Tamandua tetradactyla: one gene and its partner. The protein of the gene in region 2 interacts with the protein of the main gene of each other region in a pairwise test. Links are inferred from orthologs where the notes say so. Each region holds a gene or a part of one and is shown on either strand. Other genes may lie near its edges.

Region 1 (10,565 bases), on a different chromosome or scaffold from region 2:
AAGTGAAAAAATTGTGGAACTGTAACACACACCAAACTTTAAAATCTGTTGTATAACTCCTTGTTAAAATGTACTTGGAAATTTATTGCTTTTTTGTATATGTTATTTTTCACAGTTAAAAAAAAAGAAAAAAGAAATGCTCCCCAAGTGATTCTAATATTTTAACTCAATTAAGAACCTATGCTTCAGAAGAACAAAGGACCAAGGGAGTATTTCATCCTCTAAAATTAGAGAGAAAAAAAGCAATTTCACGAGGGAATGTTCAAGGTGTAAGAACTATATGGACTACATTAAATGATCAAAAATCAACAATGTAATTCTAACTTTAAACTCAAAAATTGGCCAGATTAAGACACAAAAGTGCTCCAAACTAGTTAGGTGGGTGGGTAGGGATGGAGGAAACACCATTTTCAGGGTTTTTTTTTTTCCCCAAGTATTTAGGAAAAAAGAATTATTTACTCTCATATTCCACCAGACCTATTTTCATAATATCTAAAAATTATATCAAAATTCCAAACCAGAAAACACTATTTGAAGTACAACCAGCAGTCATTCTGTGCATCAGCTTTATATTCACTGAGAATGTTAGACAAAAGGGTAAGGAGTAGACTTGGTAGATGATACAGGAAGAGCAGTTATACTTTAAAGGCTTTAACAGAACAGGGCAACATTAGTTTGGGGCCTCCTGCCTCCTGGCTGCCACAGCCAGTCTTCTACATCTCTAACTTTCATCTAATCAACATTATGGGATGCCTGATAAAGCTGTGGCACCAGGCAAACAAGAATGCTAACACTGATGAGTGCAAACTGCTAATGAACCTTAAAAAAAAATCTGAACTCTGTGAAAGAAAGGAAAGGATTATTCTTGGTTCACCAAAAAAAATAGACTACATTTCTGATAGGGAAAACTAAGGCATTCAAAGGACAAGAGAAAGCTGGGGGGAGAAAAAAGAGAGAAAGCTGGAAAACAGCAATGCTAGTATAGACCTAGAATACAGCACAGGCGTGAGTGATTATAACTTCTGTTGAACCAATACTTCCTCAGCTGCGGAACTACAGACATGTTAGTTACCCGCATGGGCTATTAAAACCCTGTGCTTAAAGGGTGTAGAGTTTTCAGAAGGAAGAAAAAGTCAATGCATCATCACTGATTTGTAATCAGAAAAGACACAAATTAGAAATAGCTGGTTAGCATTATACACATTTTCTTCTCCAGACAAGGTGAAATATACTAAACAAAGAATCCTGCTAGTAAAGGAAAAGCAGAGGTGTAAATAAATTCAAAATAAATTCCATCAGTAATCTGAAACAAATGTTTGCTTCAAACACTCTTTTCTCTTACTCTACTCTCCCTAAGCCGGTTCAGTAGCAGTATCTTTCCTATTCTTGAGAGAATAATATTGTTTTTCTTATTACTAATAGCTATTACTATTATATTATTTAAAATTATACAATAGCTACCACTACTATATGCAATGTCTTGCCCTAAGTGCTCTGTGTAAACTGTGTTTGAATCCTCACCTTGATCATATGTTATTTTTTTTTATGTGTTGCTTTTATTTCCACTATACTGATGAGGAAAACAGGCTTATGACACACAACTAGCAAATGGTATAAAGTAGGGATAAAAAAGTCAAGTCCAACTCCATAGCCTGTGCTGTTAACTATTAATATTGCTCTTAACATTGCTCTCTCAGACCTGCTCAAATTAAGTTCTGCTTGCAAAACACTGAAGTTCACATACTATTTGGAGTAAAGAAGCAGAAAGGGAGCACAGGAAGTGGTGGAGTAGTCTTTTATAAATTATCAAGAAAGCAACACCTGCAGTGCTTTCTTCAGACAAGGAAAAGTCTGGCAATAATACTTAAAAAACAAAAACCCAACAATTATTTTCCGGCTCACTTATAGCCGGAAAACAGACAAGTTTTTCTTTAACAAGATGGTTATTTACGGATCATAGTAAATAAATCACTTTGGTTCAGTGGTGGAGACGGCATGATGCAACATTTCCCAGCATAGCTCTCGCCAGGATATTTTATGACCAAGGCACTTGGGCCTCTCCTCTCCAGCTAGACAGCCTGGCTCCTTCTCATTCCCCTCAGGAGATAGGGTGGAAGTGCACAGCTCCACTTTCTAAGGCATACAGGGCAGCTGAAAGTCCTGCTTGGCCTCTCTGGGCAACCACAGGCGCCAATAAATCAGCCACAGGCAATTCTCTCATCCCCTTCCCTGCTTGAAGTGGTGGCAAGATATAATGCAAAAGAGCACTGACTGAACTTAGGAGATAAATGATCAAGCTTGAATTCTAGAGCAAATGACTGCATCATCACAGCCAGGTAAATCTCTTCGAGCCACTAGTTTCGTAATTTATAACATGGACACAGTACCAACACCTTTTTGGTAAAACTCAAAATCACCAGGAAAGCAGCTAGTATGGGAACTGGCCTACTGTAGGTACTGAATAAACAGTGACCCAACCTGAGCAGAATCTTCTTCCAAGTGAGAAATTTGGGGCAGGGCTGGGCAAAAAGGTGTAGCAGGACATGTGGGGCTCCTCCTCCCTCACTTGCTGCCCATCCCTAAGATGTTCCACTGTTTCCTGATTACCTCCCAGCCATTAGAATTAATCTATTCCATGTCCTATACCTCCAGTGTTCTGTTCTCTATTAGGAGCTAATGCTTGGTAATGGATTCATAATTTAGCCTTAACTAAAACATCCAGATTGCTAAAGAGATTTTGATGCCTTAACCTGACCAATATTGCAAATGTTGTTATTCTCACGGAGGTATAGGAGTAAAGTTTTGGCAGGATGGTTTTTCAGCTGGGAAATGCAGCATGGGCAGCCACTATCACCTAAACATAGTGCCAACCCCATTCCATAAAATAGTAGTGCCACCGCATACTAACAAAGCCTGATTTCTCAATAACCTGAACCAAATCAAGCCAAGTGTAATTATCTCTGGCAACTAGTCTCCACAGTGAGTGGGTGAAATTGGCACTGCAGTTCTGGTGTGGTGGAAAAGAGCAATGCCCAAGTCCTGCAATCTATGCTACTGAGAACTGTAGGACCTCCATGCTCTTTAGGCCTGATGTCTTCACCTCTAAAATGAAAGGGCTGAATTGGATTTTCTTTTAGACCCACTAAGCTGAAATACCTGATTCCAAGATGTACTTTATACACTTGACAAAATCCTGTGTAAGAATCAATAGCTCTACCAAAAGGACTTGAATCTCAACAGAATGAACTCCATATTTGACCCCTTGGGGAAAAACAGTCATTAATTTTTTCAATATGTTTTAAGCTGCTGTCAAGTTCAAGGTTCAGCGGTAGGTGCTACATAAGCAGCCTCACCACAGCGTCACCCAGAGGGAAGGCATAGATAGGGTAGGCTTCAAAAAGAAAACTTGGGTTTACTTAGAAGAAGACTAATAAAGTTTGAAAAATGAAAGATCTGAATTATAAGGAACCTTAAAAATTGGATAATCCCAAACTGGAGGGGAGTGTGCACGGGAGGAGCGGAATCCTCGCAGCCTACACCTGGAGACCCGTCCCTTGCAGGAGCCGTAGGCACTGCTCACCGGGGGACCTGCAGGCCCTTCCCGCGAGGGGGGTGCACTGGGGCCCGTGACAGAGAGATCCCTGTGCCTTGGTTGCGACCCCGCGCCTTGTCTATGCCTCCAGGGTCTGCAGGCTGCCCTAGGCAGGTAGCGAGGGTAGGTGCTGGGGCATCCTCGGCCCAGCGCTCACTCGCAACTGTCATTTTCCTCTCCTACTCTGACTGAAGTCTCAGATAAACCAAATACCCTTCTCCCCGCCTACTTGCATCAGTCCCGCGACCGGTCCAGCTGCAGGCCACCGCATCTGGCGGCTCGCGGCGGGAGGGACTGAGACCCAAGCAGGAAACAGAGGCTGGGTCGCGTCGCTTACCCAGACGCCGCCGCGGCGGCAGGCCGACTCCTCCGTACGGGAGGGGCGGGCATCCGCGCCGCGCACAGCACGCGGCGGCGCCGAATCACGCACTTCGCGGGTCGCTCTCGCGCGGCTTTCGGCACCGGCCGCCCCACTATCGTCCCACGTGACCGTGCGCCTGGTACCCGGAGAACGGCGGCCACTGGGGCCAGGGTGTGCGTGCGTGCGTACGTGCGCGCCCGCTGGCCTGAGTGACAGGGCGGGGGTTTGCACGCGCTTCGGACGCTGCTGTTGCCCCCACGGACCCCAGTCCTGACTTTCTAGGCGGAAGTGTGGGAACAAGCCTCAGCGTCACTGGCTCCTACACACAACCGCGTGACCCGGGGACTTTCCCCAGGGCGTGCAAAAGCACAGGCACCCTCTCATTTCTGGGGTGAGGGTGGGGGCTGGGAGGGATGCGCCCGCTCATTCGCTAGGAGAGGGGTTAGGGCAGGGAGCCAGGGAAGCTTAGCCGCGGGAGCCTGGAAGGGGAGGCGTGTTGGGCTGGGTGGGGCATGGCGGGGGAAGTGACTCAGGGCCAGAGGCGGACAGACCCATGGAAGGCAGGGTGGGGGGAGCGCAAAGAGTGGGCGACCCCAAACGGACTTGTCGCGGGAGGGACAGGGCGAGGGTGCCGGCGCCCCCGGAACAACAAGGGCTTATGGCGAGGGAGGGCCGAGCTGCTGGGCCCTATGGTGAAGGCGTTTGACATCTGGAGCAGTAGGAAAGCAGCATCCTGCCCTTGGGGAGTCGGGAGGAGTTCAGTCCCATCCAGCTGTGCAAACAAGAGGAGGTCCCAAGCCTACCCTTGGGAGAGGAGCGAGAGGGGTGGTCAAGCCGCCGCCACCGCGCCGGCCCCCGCGGTGCGGGTTGCGCCAGCCTCCCCGGAGCCCGACGCAGAAACTTGTTGCAACAAACAGGCGACCGCGGCTGCCCCTAGCAGCCAGCGGCGGAGTGGGTGGGCGGGCGAGAGGGAGGGGAAGGCTGGCGGACGCCGCAGCGAACTGGTGGGCAGACCCGGAGTCGCCGCGTAAGCGGGGCCGGCTCAGTGCGGTGCGGCAGGCGCGGCTGTGCGGCAGCGGAAGTCCTTTGTTGCAGCGCAGTCCCTGGCAGAGCCAGAGCCTCTCCGCGCAGCCAAGCCCGAGAGCCGCGCGCCGCCGCCACTGCAGCTCGCGGCCCCTTCGCCTCAGTCCGCCTTTCCCGCAGCTGGTTTGCCTTAAACTCCCTAAAATCTCTGCAGCCCTGGTTGTTGCTGCGGCCGGTGAGTATTTGCCAGTTGTGGGGCTATTTGCGCAACTTTGGATTGGGCCGGAGGGTGACGGCCGCGGGCCTGGAGGGGTGCTGGCCCCGAGCGGCGCCGGCCCTTGCGGGGAACTGGAGCGCGGCGGACGCGCGGTGAAGACCTGGCGAACGGCGGCTGCCGGGCCGCCTGTTCGATCCCGCTGCCCGCCGGTGCGACTGGTCAGGGGCATGCGGCCTTCCTGAGTCCAGTGCGAAGCCCCCGCGGAGACGAGTTCCCAAATTAGTTACCTTCTTTTACCTTTCTTTCTCTGCCTTTATTATTTTTTTTGAGGGGGGAGGGGAAGGGAGAGAAGGGGAGGTATAGACTGGAGGCGGGAGGACCTGGTTTGATTGACGTGCCCAGAGCCCGCTTCTCTGAGTTTACAGCTGCGGCTTCTCGGCGGGTGGGAGGGAAGTGTCCCGGAGCTGGAGGCCGCAGACTTGGGCGCGCTCCGAGGGAGGAGGCGTTAAGAGCTGCGCAGATTGCTCTTTCCCACCCCCTGTCGCCGGCACACACGGTTTTTGTCCAGTACAAAGTCTGGGGGTTGGGAATTTTCAGTGGAAAAGGTATGTTTCCTGGGGAGAAGGTGCTTTCGCTTCAAATGGGGCGGGGGGGGGCACTCACTAGAAGTTCCAAGCGTTTGGTGAATGTCTTGGATGTTTGTCGGAAGTTAACCCTAAAATGTGTAGGCATGAGCATGAGCTCAGCCACTCCTTCTCAGCCTCGCTTTCTACTTAAGCAACGCCTCTACAGGATCTGAAGGGTGGAGGTGACATTTTCCAAATTGGGAACCTCAAGGAGAGGATGATGAAAGTCCTTGATATTTTCAGGGCATGTGTATGTGCGTAATAATTTTAAATTGAGCTACACGCAATTCTCCATTGGTCTAAGTGTATTTCATAGTGTGTAAACCTCAGGAAAATTGTTCCAGAAGAGTTTTTCCCGTTGATACTCGAACCCAAGGAGCCGTCCAAGAACTTTTGAGGCATCTTTGAATCAGTTTCCTAAGCTGAAGTTTAACGCATTCAGGAACAGATTTTGTGAAGGATGCAGTTCTCATGATGACTTGAAAGCAGTCTCCTTTGAAAGGTAGAATTAGATTCTATGCCGTTTTTTGTGCAAATGGATACGATCTAGAGAAGTAGGGAGATCTGGGATGGATACAAAAAGAAGCTTGAATGATGGGTGCCCGTCATTTGCTCAGAACCTCAAGAACCTCACAGTTCTATTTAATCACTTTCTGGATATTAATAAAGTCTCAATAGCAATGACTTTGGGAACTAGATGGGGACTTCCTGTCCTAAACAGACAGCGGAAACTGAAGCGCAGGGAAGTGAAATAAATGCTTTTACAAAGATTAATAAAGTCTGCAGTAGAACCTTTGGTTAACATCTTATAATCTATTTTAAAAGCAGGATTTCTTGAAGACCAGAAGTTCATGGTGTAGAATAATTCAGGTTGAGCAGTCTTCAGATTCCTTTCTATTCTTCCCACCCTTAATATGATGGCCTACTTTTGGGGGGAAAGTGAGGGTACCCTGTGGTGCATCATTGTCAGAGAAAAGAGAAACCATATTTAGCCAGGACCATAGCCAGTGTCTCCCATGTGCCTTGCAGCAGCATCTCCCATTCACTTGTGTGGGAGAAAAGAAGCTGCTGCTTTCAGACTTTTCCCTCCCCAGCCAGAATAAGTGCTAAGCCTTTTCTGTTTAATCTTCTGAACCAAAGAGAAGGAAACCATTGAGTGGTATAAAAGCAGAAAATTTTTCATGGATTTTTATTTTTAAAATATAGCCTATCTTCCAAAACAAGTTGGGGTTTATTTGAGAAGCATCTGCTTGAGAGGTCACTTTCGTCTTTACAGGAGCTGCTTTTTCCTGATATTTTCTTGTGCTAAAATCTTTTAATGTAAAATAGTGATTTATCTTGTTGTTTGTTCATATACTCTTATGTAAACTAAATTAAAATTTATTTTTTTCTCAATGAAAATTTTAAATTATAAAACACATACTTTTAAATCAACCTACACATAAAATACAAAAATGAAACTCATTTTAACCCCTACTCCCCGAATCACTGTTAACAGTCAATTCCTTGTTTAAAAAGAGAGAAGGCAACATTTGATCACCCTGCCTAGGGCTGGCCTGTGGTAATTCATGGGTTTATATTCTCTGTTCACTACTCAGGTTGATGAGAATTGCCTGGTAGAGGAAAAGGGAGTGGTTTGCATTGGGCTTATTTAAAATTGTAGGATTAAAAAACAGACTTGAGAGTTTAAATATAACAGCGCTGCTGCTTTAGGTGTGTCCTCATGAAGTGTTTACTGTACCTCGGCAAGCCAGTTCTCATACTTTTAAATGATGTTAATGTTGCCCAGCCTCTAATAGGTTGATTTACACCAAGCTCATTAAAACAAAACAAAACCATCACATATGTAGACAGTTTTGAAATACATAGTTGGGAAAGGGTGGATGTACTTGCCATGAAAACCACTGCTGAGATATCCCTGTGCTGATAAGGGGAGGTGGGGTTCCTCCTGATCAGGACCAAATGTTGCATGCCAAACATTAAGCAAAGGACATTAGTGGAAAGAAAAATTTAAAAAATAAATATTTTTATTGAGAACTATCCACACACATACAGTCCAACCATATTATACAATCAGTGGCTCACAATATCATCACATAGTTGTGTTTCACTGTCATCATTTTTAGTACATTTACATCACTCCAGAAAAAGAAAGAAAAATTTTTTAAAAAACCTCATACATTCCATACCCTTCCCCCTCCCTCTCGTTGACCCACAGTATTTCAATCTACCCAATTTTTACCCTTTATCTCCCCCATCATTTATTTAGTTTTTAATCCTTACTTTTTTTATTCATCTGTCCATACCCTGGATAAAGGGAGCATCAGACACAAGGGTTTCACAATCACACAGTCACATTGTAAAAGCTATATAGTTATACAGTATTCTTCAAGAATGAAGTCTACTAGAACACAGTTAGTTCAACAGTTTCAGGTACTTCCTTCTAGCCTCTCCAATACACCATAAACTAAAAAGGGATATCTATATAGTGCTTAAGAATAACCTCCAGGATAATCTGACTATTTGAAATCTCTCAGCCAGAGACTTCATTTTGTCTCATTTCTCTCTTCCCTCTTTTGGTCAAGGTTTTCTTATTTCCATGATGCTGGGTCCTGGCTCATCCCCAGGAGTCAGGTCCCCATTGTCAGGGAAATTCACACCCCTGTGGGTCATGTCCCATGTAAGGGGGGAGGGCAGTGAGTTCATCTGCCAAGTTGGCTTAAAGAGAGAGGCCACATCTGAGCAACAGAAGAGGGGTGGGGGGATGGAGCCATGACTCTTAGGCATAATTATCAATAGACTTAGCCTCTCTTTCGCAGGAATAAGCTTCATAGGGGCAAGCCCCAAGATTGAGGGCTCAGTCTATGGGATTGGTTGTCCCTCTGTGAGCATATCAGGAATTCCCCAAATGGGGAATTTGAATATTTCCTCCTTTCTCCCAGTCCACCAAGGGGACTTTGCAAATACCTTTTTATTCAGAAAGAAGATTAATGACTACTGTTTAAGATGTGGCATGGAAGGGACTGATACTAGGGAGGGAGAGGAAGGGATCCAGATCTGTATGCCACTCATGTTTGTCATCTTGACATGTATTTAAGATATACTTCTAAGCGCGTTTATATTTTAGTATATAAGTGTATAGTCATTTATAAATTACAAGAGATCCTAGTCAAAATATAGAATGACTTATTTCTTAGCGGTGTATTCAAGACAAATGAGCTGTGAAGAAGTTGATGATATTCTGAAAACAAAGCCTTAAAACAGTACATAGAAATCTAATCACAACATTGGTTATTTCGGGGGTGTTGAGGACATGTGTGTTTTATTTTACACTACTCTTTGAATTTAAAATTGTTTATCAAAATAAAATTTGAAAGTTAAAGAATGAAATCACCAACCAGATTATCTATTAGTTGTCTATGTGAGATGCATACTTCTTAGAGATAAATGAAGAGCTCTGTCCTACTTTAAATCTTTAGTATTAGGGAATTGAATGCTGTGGGTGGACAGTGATAATTAGCAGACGGAAAGGGAAGATGGTGAAAGGAATAGACATTCTTTCTACAAGATGGGGTAGTATGAGAATGATGAGAGCTTTCAGATTCATGAAGAAGGATAACTGTAGGAGGCTTAGAATGTTCAGAAGGGACAGTTCAGTGGGTTGTCATTCATATCCATAAAGAGTGTTGACTCGTTTATAAAAACTACAGAGTTTGAATCTCAGCTTTTCTTACAAGATCAACAATCCTGGTCAAATCAGCCTCGGAGCCTCAGTTTTCTCTATCGCAAAATGAGGATAATTAAAATAACCTGATAGGATTAGTGTGAGTTTGTTGTATATGCTTTGTAGATTTTTGGCCACAATATAAAAGTTACCATGATTGAAATAATGCAAAGTTGGTAAGCAAATTAAAACTTAGCGGGCGGGCCGCGGTGGCTCAGCGGGCAAAGTGCTTGCCTGCTATGCCGGAGGACCTCGGTTCGATTCCCGGCCCCAGCCCATGTAACGAAAACGGAGAAACAAAATACAATAAAACAAGAAAATGTTTAAAAGATGTTTCCCTTTCTTCCTCTCTTCCTTCCTTCTATCCTTCCTTCCTTCTCTCTGTCTTTCCTTTAAAAAAAAAAAAAAAAAAAAAAAAAAAACTTAGCTACTTCAACATTTATTCACTCAAAAAACTGATAAAAATAACAACTATCAGGCAACTGTTAAAGGTTCAGGGAATCTGGTGATGACTAAGATAATGCTTTGATCTCAGGTAGCTTACAGTAAAGCAGGGAAGCCAAATAATGTGATGAGATATAGCATCCCAGTTTGGATGATACATTATATATCACCCTATACTTGTATGTATGAACTGTTCTGGAAGCAAAGAAAAGGGGCATCCTCTCTGCCTTACCATGAAGACGAGAAAGCATTTCCCCGAGGGAGGGAGTGGACATTGAAAAGGTTTTAAGTAAAGAAAAAGGCATGTGTGAAGGCTTTTATTGTGTTAGGTGCTTTTGGATGACAAGAAAGCCACTTTTAAATAGATGTAAGGCTTAAAAATGGAGTTGTTAAGCTTCTTAGAAGGAACGCTTTACGATATTTTTATTGGTTGCAATTTCATTGAATTTTTATTAGATAAGAGTGAAGTTTTCAAAATTTTGGTTAGAATTAAACAATTGAGAAAACACTAGGGCCACAGAATAGGAAACAATACAATTAAAGTGTGTGGGATCTGCTGAGAGAAGGAAACTAGTAAT
Region 2 (9,510 bases):
GGCTGCTCTAACACAGGAGCAGGAATGAGCCTGTGCCAGGACTCACGAGGGCAGAACTGTCCCAGGATTCCACAGCCTAAACGCAAAGGGGTGAGAGCACTGTGAAACTCCCAGCCCCACCCTGGCCCCCCACATGGACTCAGGCCCCCCACACTTGCAGAGCTCCTGCAGTCACTGTGTGGAGAGATCTCCCCAGGCAAATCTGCCCCCACCCCACCCCTCCCTGCCGACCTGCTGCTGCTGTGGGCTCCTCCTCCAAGTCCAGGGACTCTGCTGGAGAGCTACCACTGCCTGCCCGGAAAGGTCAGTATAAGGAGGCGTGGCCTGCCACCCAAGGCCGCTGGCAGAGCCTTCTAAGCAGATGAGGGCAGGAAAATGCCCCTCTCCTGGGCTGGGTGCCACTGCGGCCCAAGTGGCCTAGGCAAGGCTGGAGGAAGCAGATGCAGCCCCCCCACTCCCTCAGGAAACGCCCAGCAGATGAAAAAGATGGCCGGAGCGCTGCGCTGTGAGCTGCGAGAGGGGATGAGAGGCTGCAGTGTTGCCATGGCTACGGGGAACTACGTAGACCCTGAGTTTCCATTGCAGAAGGGTCTGGTGGTCGGCTCAAGGCCTCTGAGGAACAACAAGCGATGCTACCGGCCTTGGAGCACTCTATCAACCAGTGGGCTGCTGCAGGGGGGTGAGCTGGGCGAGGACTGTGCCCTAAAAAAACACCAGAGCTGACGGTTTCAGATGGTGTGGAAGCTGTGGTCAGAGGAAGAAAAGAAGCCCAGACAGGGTGCCCAGTGCTTCACAGCCCTCAGCCTAGTTGTGACCAGAGCCAACACAAGCCCCTCCAGATAGAGGCCACATCGCAGGTCCTCACCCTCCTCCCAGGAGGTCCAATAGGGCCCAGCACCCAGCACCTAGCACCCTGCTCGTACCCTAGTTCTGTCCAGTCAAGCAGTTCCTGGCCAGGGGCAGTGGGTCCTGCCGCACAGGAGCTGTGGATAACAATGCAGAGCTGCTTTACTCTGCCTCTGCCCAGATGCCACCGTGCTGATCCCCGTGTGCCAAGACATCCACCAAGACCCTGGATACAAGACCCAGGGTACAAGAAACTCCTCAATTGGGCGCTGCTGCTGGCACCAACAGGCTCCTAAGTGAGGCTATGGCCACATCCACCATGCCCTCTACCCTCACCCCGGCACCCACCCCTCATACACCTCGGACCACAATTGCTCATACTCCCAACACTCTGATTCCATGCGCAAATGCCCCTCATGCTCCTGCTCGCCCACCTGCTCACCTCCCCCATCTCACCCCCAAGTGCCCCCTTCCCACCTCACAGTCTCACCCCTCTGCCTACTCCCTCCCCTAGCTATCTGCCTACACTCCGAACCCTCCCACCTAATGATCTTGCCCTGGTGCGTTCACCCTCTCATCCCCACACCTACTCTCAAACCTCGGGGATCTCAACTTGACACCCCACCCCCACCCCCACCCCAGCTGACGCTGTCGCCCCTGCGCCCATCCCCCACCTGCACAATCTACCCCCACGCGCGTTCCCCATGCCTCCTGGTTCGCCCCATGACCTCCTGCTCTCACCCCCACATTCACCCTTTAACCTTCCTGATCTCCCCAGGAACTGCCCAGTCCCACCTCACTCTGTCTCCCCTATACCCATCTCCCTACCTCCACACCCTCCCACCTCAGGGTCTTAACCCTGTGCACTCGCCCCCTCACCTCCGTTCTCACCCCCTGCACCCACTCCCTCACCTCCGCGATCCTGCTTTGATGCTCCCGCCCAGCGCATTCTCTCATCTCCGTGCCCATCCCCCAACCGCCCGATCTGCCGCGTCTCCGTCTTGCCCCATGCACTAACCCCCACCCCTTACACTTTCACCCCCGCGATCCTCCTCGATGCCCCCCGCCCAGCTCACGCTCCCACCCCCCCAACCGCCGCTATCTGCCGCCACCCGCGCAGCCTCCCCCATCACGGTCTTACACCCATGTACTCGCCCCTACACTTTGCACTCTCACCCATGTGCACACTCCCTCACCTCCGCAATCTTTCATCGATGTGCCCTGCACAGCTTATACTCTCGCCCCCACGCCCATCCCCCAACCGCCGCCATCTGCCGCCACCCGTGCACCCTCCCCCATCGCGCGCTCACCCCCACACCCATCCCCCAACCACCGCCATGTGCCGCCACCCGCGCAGCCTCCCCCATCACGGTCTTACGCCCGTGTACTCGCCCCCACACCTTGCACTCTCACCCACGTGCACACTCCCTCACCTCCACAATCTTTCATCATGTACCTCACCCAGCGCAAGCTCTCACCCTTGCACCCACCGTCCGCTTCCTTGATGCACCCACATGTGCACCCTCCCACCTCATGGGCTTCCCCTGTGCACTCGGCCCCTCACCTTGCACTCTCACCCCCGCGCCCACACCCTTACCTCCGCGATTCTGCCTAGACGTGCCCTGCACAGCTCATACTCTCGCCCCCGCACCCACCCCCCAACCGCCGCCATCTGCCGCCACCCACGCACCCATCCCCCAATCGCCGCCATGTGCCGCCACCCGCGCACCCTCCCCCACCACGCTCGCCCCCGCGCCCATTCCCCCAACCGCCAGCCGCCATCTGCCGCCACCCGCAAACCCTCTCACCTCACGTTCTTACACACATATACTCGCCCCCATACCTTGCACTCTCACCCCCGCAATCTTTCCTCAATGTACTTCACCCAGCTCACGCTCTCACCCGGGCACCCATCCTCCACCTCCATGATGCCCCCACCCGCACACCCTCCCACCTCACACTCTTGTCGCTGACCACTCAGCCCCTCACCTCACTCACCCAGGCGCCCGCATCCTCACTTCCGCGATCCCGCCTCCACGTGCCCCACCCAGCTCACGCTCTCACCCCCGCGCCCATCTCCCAAACACCGCCACCTGCCGCCACCCGCGCACCCTCCCCCATTACACTCTCACCCTCGTGCCATCCACCAACCGCCGCCATCTGCCCCCACCCGCGCACCCTCCCCCATTACACTCTCACCCTCGTGCCATCCCCCAACCGCCGCCATCTGCCCCCACCCGCGCACCCTCCCACCTCACGGTCTTACGCCCGTGTACTCGCCCCCACACCTCGCGCTCTCGCCCCCGCACCCTGTAACCTTTGCGATCTCCCCTCGACGTAACCCCGCCCAGCTCACTGTCGGCCCGCCTCCGCCGCGTCCTGCCCCCACATCCGCACGCCCCCTCCCGCCTCCGCACGCCCCGCTGCCAGCGCACCGCCCCCCTCTCGCCCCCGCCCCCTCTCGCCCCCGCCTACCCCACGCACTGAGTCGCCGCCTCACGGTCTTGCCCCCATCCTTCTCGCCCTCTGTCGCGCGGGGCCCACCCCACCGCCTCCACGATGTCGACTCCACGCGCACCCTCCCTCTTCACGGTCTCGCCCTTGCCATGTAGCCCCACTCTCACGCTCTCGCGCCCAGGAGCCCACCCCTGCACCCCCGCGACCTCCCCCCATGCGTGCAGCCCCTCACTCAGGCCCCTGCCACAGCGTCCACCACCTCCCACCCCAGGTTCTCTCCCACACTCGCTCCCCCACCCCCACCCCCTTCACGCCCACCCTGGGGCCCAGCAACCCCGTCCCCCGAGGACCGTCTCCCCACGTGCAGGTTGGCGGACACCGGGCGGAGAGAGACCCGGGCGCCCTGGCCTGCCCGCGAGGGGGCTCGGGGCAGGTTCGGGGTGGCCCGAGGTCCAGGAACACCCAGGGCGGCCGAGGCCCGCGCATGCTGCGCGCTGTCAGGGTGCGGGCCCATCTTAGCGGGAACCCGCTGCCTGGGGACCCTGCGGTCACCCGCCCCGGGGATGCCCGGTGGGGACGGAAGGCGAATATGGGACGGGGAATAGGGTTTCCCTTGCGACCACAGGGCCGCCAGGACACCGGGGGACCCGCACCTTACCCGTCGGAGACGCCTGAGGAGCGGAGCCCCCGCGGGCCGCCGCCACCTCTCGTCCGCCGCCGCAGTGCAGTGTGGGCCGCCAGTGGGTGGAGTGTTAAGGGGAGCCGCGTGATGGCCCCCCGCGGAGCTGCACACGGCCCGCTCGCGGCTGCGCCCTGAAGCCTGCACGCCTCGAGGTGGGGGTGGGGGAACCGAAGTCCCGCCCTGTCACCCCTCTACCCCCCCACCCCGCACGGCAGCCCACCCAGAAGCCAGCCTGGGCCACGTGGTGCCCCCACCCCCCACCCCCCCCCGCCAGCAGCTCACAGTGCCGGCCGGCCTGTCCCCCGCCAGTCCATCCCCACCCCACCCCCACCCCCCTACCCCACCCCACCCCCACCCCACCCCACCCCCCTACCCCACCCCACCCCCACCCCCCTACCCCCACCCCGCTACCCCACCCCCCTACCCCCACCCCGCTACCCCACCCCCCTACCCCCACCCCGCTACCCCACCCCCCTACCCCCACCCCGCCCCACCCCACCCCCCTACCCCACCCCACCCCACCCCCCTACCCCACCCCATGCGGTCGGCCCCTAGGAGCCCGCCAAGCCACGTGTCCCGCGAGCCCCAGCAGCCATTGCGGGACCCGAGGGCAGGTGCCGCTCCCCATTGGCCGGACACTGTGGCGCGACAGCCACCCACGCCCTCCTCATTTCCATATTGCGGCCGGGCGCAGAGGGAAAGCAAGGCTTGGCGCCTTTTTTGCCTTTAGGCGGGGTGGGGTGGGCGTGCTTTGGGGGGGAGGTGAGGCATGGCGAGAAACGGGGATCCGCCCCACCCCGAAATAGAAAACTATCAAAAGACTCCTAATCCTCGTTTTTCTCTCGCTTTCAGGACCAAGTATTACCCAGCTAGACCCAAATGAATTCTCGCCCTTTCTTAAAGGAACGTTTTCTCCAGACTGAAGAGGTTTGCTCTGAGGCAGAGGCGTGGTGGGGGAGGGGTGTTCTGGAAAGTTCCTTGACTCCGATGCTGCAGGTGCCTGACCATGCCTTGGGTCGTGAGGCTCTAAAAGCCTGTTTTTACTTTTCAGGGCCAGATGATGTGACCCTTTGGTGACATAGTAGATTTCTTTACCCTTATTTGCTAAAGGTACACACACACAAAAGAAAAAAAAACACCCCCAGACGGTTTCATGATTGTTCTATAAAAAAAAAAATCCTAAAAACAAAGCAAATTTCAATAAAAAGTCACTGAGTGAGATGTTTGCAGTGCACAGCATATTCCCCTTTAACTGCAGAAGACTCCCTCAGTGTGCCTTACCTCCTAAGAATAGGCAGATTTGTTCAATCAGTCTCCTTGGCTGGAGGAGCAAACAAGGCTAACTGGTGCTGCTGGGGTGTTACACTCCCGTTGGGATGTTTTATTCGGGGGGGGGGGTTGTTTTACCCGGGGCGGTGGGCGGATTCTCAGATCACTGTCCAGTGTCCTGACTCCCACTGGCCTCGTGGACACTGCTAGTTCTGCCTGCCAGACCTGTACTTCCCCTCACAATGGCTGGGGTGTTAACTTCATAACTCTTCCTTCCTTTTAAAAAGCAATTTATCAAGGATAATTAATAGGCAGTAAAACACATCCATTTTAAGTTTAGAGTCTGGGCACCACCCCAGTCAAGACCAAGAAATGTCTCCATTACCCCAAATGGATGCATACCGTGTGATTCCACTTGTGTAGAACTCTTGAAAATGCAAACTGATCTGCAGTGACAAGAAACCAGATCGGAGAATGCAGAGATAGGGACAGGGACGGGAAGGCAGGGGTATCACAAAGGGGTACCCAGAAAGTTTGGGGGGTGACAGATGTGCTCACTCTTAATTGCAGTGATGGTTTCACGGATGCCAAAACTCATCCAAGCGTGCACTTGAGACGTGGTTTATTGTGTGCCAATTATAACCCCAGTAAAGCTATTAAAACATAAATGTACAAAGAGTATTCTCAGGAAAGGCCTGGTGTCCAGGCTCTCACAGGGAGTGAGCTCCAGTAGCCGGAGGAAGCTTTAGAGCAGAGATGTATGCATTCCCAGGCACATGTGGGAGCTGAAGGTCTCCCCAGGGGTGGAAATAGCACCAGCCGCCCTGGGAAAAGTGTGGCATGAAGAAGGGGTCCACAGAAGGCCTTCGCAGAGGGAGTCCAAAGCCAGGAGGTGTGCAGGGTGCAGGCAGGAGGTGTTCACAGACAGAGCACTCAGCAGGGGACTCCTTCCCTAGCAGATGTGTGCTGGACAGCATGGACGAGCTGGGTGAAGCAGCACTGACAGACTTAGAGGCAGGTGCCAGGGAGGTAGGGCCACTTTCGAGCAGGAAGGGCTCAGATAATCAGTGACTTCCACAATCCCTACCAGGCCGGGGGGACTGAGGGGCAGGGAGGCTGTTGCAGGCTTTGGGGAAATCCGAAAGTAAATAAGTGGTTCCCAGGCCCCAAGATGCAATGGTCCCAGCTACCTGCAGGACTGTCAGGGCTGATTGCCAGGAGGTTGCCGGGAAGCTGCTGGAAAAGTCTGCGTGTGATTTCTTTGGATGCCCCATACTAGCGTGCTACCAGAAAATGAGGGCTTCGCTGCTGTCCCAATGTGGCATGAATGCCTCTCCCTGGGGAAGGGAACGCAGAGCCAGTGTGGTGAAGGAACCTGGGACCTGAGGTTCCCAGGCCTCTGCTTTACACAAAAGGGCAGGGACGAGCAGAGCTGAGAAAGCCAAGCCAGCCAGCCCTCCCTTCCCGCTCAGCATCCGTCACATTCTCCCACCCACATTCATCTCCCAGGTGATGACCACGGTGACATTATGCCTCCGCTCGGCGGGGCGTGACCAGCCCTCAGGTAGGTGAACACACCCTCACCCTCTCTCCAGAAAAGGGGGAGTCCGAGGTCCCATTAGGCAAATTCTCATTCTCTGGCCCAATTGTGAGGTCAATTACCACCAAGATAAATTAACCACGGGATTAGAAAAGGAAAGTAAGAAGGAACAAAGGAGTTAAGATACTCAAAAGCGTGACAAAATGCACAGAGCTTCTCTAGCTCTTATTTCTGCAGCTGGCCCTGAGGTGTAGCCAATCTTTAGAATTTCCTCCTTCTGCGAACCTTCCAAGGACCCCTGTCCTCACCCAGCTGGCTGTGGCTGCCTTAACTTCCCATTCAGTGGGACCGGCGCAGGGTCCCCTGGTGGAAGCATTCCTCCCTTGGAAACTAAGTCTGCCGGACCAGCAGAGCCCCAAATTGCAGGGATGGGAAACAAATATTTTGTTAGTGGACCAGGAACACAATACTGAACGGAGCCACTCCCACTTCTGCCCCTCAGTTTCTGGACCCAGCCATTCTGGCATCTGCCAAAACCAGTGGGCAGTACTCCACCCTGCCCCAAAGGCTGGCCATCCCTTTAGCATCCCAACTGAGTCTTCAAAGGCTGCTCCATCACACCCGCTGCCCTTCGGTGGGGGAAGACCAGTGAACTCTACCAGCCAAGGGCCTTTCCTTCCTTCCTTCCTCATGCGCATTCTTCCCACGGCTCCTGGGATGCCAGATTCTTGCGGCTCCCCTCCTCCTTCACTGGTCCTTCCTCTCTTTGGGGTTTCCAGCTGCTCCTCTGCTTGGTGGCCCCCAGGACTCAGCCCCACTAGGCATGGCACCGACTGGTCCCTCTGCCTGGAAACCTCTTCCCTCCAGGTCCCTGTACCAGTGGCTGCTTCTCATCATTCTGCCTTCAGGACAAATTTCCTCACCTGAGATTCCTCCCCCTCTCATCTAAAGTCACCAATGCAGCTGCTCTCTCGCTCTGTGCTGCCTGACAGAGCTTTCTGCAAGGATGCAGATGAACTGTCCCATAGGGTAGCTGCCAGCCTCACGTGGCCACCAAGCGCTTGAAACGTGGGGAGTGCAATGAGGCACTGAATTGTTAAATTGGATTCTAACTCATTTATGCTTACGTTTCAACTGCCTCGTGGGGCACATGGCAGCCAGGGCAAAACGGCACAGCTCCAGCCCGTCATGGTCATAAATGATCTCACTTATTTTTGTCAGCAGCATTTATCAAGTGCCTGCTTGATGCCGGGCATAATGCCAGGTACTGACGTGGGAAAGAGGCGTGAGCCAAATAACAAAAATCCCATGCAGAAGAATTACTGATTGTACATGTAGATTGGAATGATTTCTAATTGTTTTGTTAATTCTTTTTTTAATTAATAAAAAAAAAAAATCCCATGCAGAGGTTGCATTTGAGTAGGGAAAGACAAACCATGAACAAGATGGCCATGTGAACAGAGGAAGCTAAAAGGGGTCTAAGGAGAGCTGAGGAGTGGGTGCAATTCTGCACAGAGTGGTCCAGGGGGCCTCAGGGAGCCAGCCCGGTGGGCATCTTCAGGCAGAGGGGAGAACAATGCAATGCCCTGAGGCAGGAGGATGCCTAGAATGGAGGGGGGGGGCGGGGGGATTGGGGGAGGAGGGGTGGGACTCAGAGAGGTGACAGGTGCCGGAGCAGACAGGGAGGGCTTGGACTTGGACTCCAGGGAAAATGGAGCCCAGGAGAAGATTTGGAGCAAAAGAGGGGTGCGATCCGACTTGAGTCGAAACCATGCACTCCGGTGGCCATGCCGAAATAGCTTGGGTATGGGGCACGAGGACAGAGGCAAGAAGACAGGGTGGGTCACTCTGATCATTTAGGCAAGAGGAGACAGTGAGAAACGCGCAGCTTCCGGATGTGTGCGGCAGGGAAGGCAGGACAGTGTTGGAAGCCTAGCGGAGGAGCCATCAGTTCTGCCAAATGCTGCTGCTGGAGTGAGGAGACGGGGCTGAGGCTCGACCATCGGGTCTAGCAACGTGGTGCAGGTGAAAGCCTGGCAGGACCAGGCTCCGGAGGACGGGGAAATGGGGAGGAGGGGAATGAGCTGCGTGTGCATTTATTGCCTGCCTCCCACCCTTATCTTGAAGAGTGGCATCGAACCTAGGATAGCGCGGGGCCCACAGTAGGTGCTCAGGAAATATCGAAATGATTCAATGGATGAACCAGCAACTCTTCCTCATCCTTGGGGTTTCAGCTCAGAGATCACTTGTTCCGTAACCCTGTGAATCCCAAGTGCGTGACTCTTCCCCGGACTCGTATGGCAGGTACTAGCAGATGGGCTTGTTCCCACGTCTTTCTCCTCACTAGACAGGTGCTCCCAGAGAGCCTGGGCTGTGTCTGTCTTGCTCCTCTGTGTCCCAGCACTTTTCAGGGACTCAATAAATGTATGCTGAACAGGGAATGGATGAGTTGCCTTGGAATGGAGCCCAGCGTAGGGCCCTATGAAAGGGGCTGGGAGATGGCCTCCTGTTTCTGCAAACTCCTACAAATACATTTCATTACTTTGGGAGAGGTTCCCTCACCACCCAGACCTGAGTGGGCTCCCAGATCGTGGCCATCTTTCCCTGCCCTGCATGTTTCATCCAGACCACTGAGCATGCTGGCATTTCACTCACTGTGGGATTCTGAGCTCTACAGGGATATGGACTGGGTCTGATTCAATAGGAGTGAGAGGTA

Evidence for each region. The genes of interacting proteins can lie anywhere in the genome.
Region 1: the proteins of PNMA5 (region 2) and ZBTB25 interact in binary tests that used the Homo sapiens proteins (3 or more experiments, as listed by UniProt). The two-hybrid records come from large-scale screens. The link is inferred for Tamandua tetradactyla from reciprocal best matches to the Homo sapiens genes PNMA5 and ZBTB25.

The regions. Positions count from the first base shown.
Region 1 is NC_135338.1:21,760,115-21,770,679, forward strand, and holds the start of ZBTB25 (zinc finger and BTB domain-containing protein 25), read right to left. Parts: upstream 3,993-10,565; 5' UTR 3,983-3,992; coding exon 3,930-3,982; exon of another isoform or gene 3,822-3,929; intron 1-3,821. UniProt on the Homo sapiens protein: May be involved in transcriptional regulation.
Region 2 is NC_135353.1:4,735,488-4,744,997, reverse strand, and holds the start of PNMA5 (paraneoplastic antigen-like protein 5), read right to left. Parts: upstream 4,075-9,510; 5' UTR 3,962-4,074; intron 3,158-3,961; exon of another isoform or gene 3,135-3,157; intron 3,075-3,134; exon of another isoform or gene 3,046-3,074; intron 984-3,045; exon of another isoform or gene 924-983; intron 292-923; exon of another isoform or gene 232-291; intron 77-231; 5' UTR 1-76.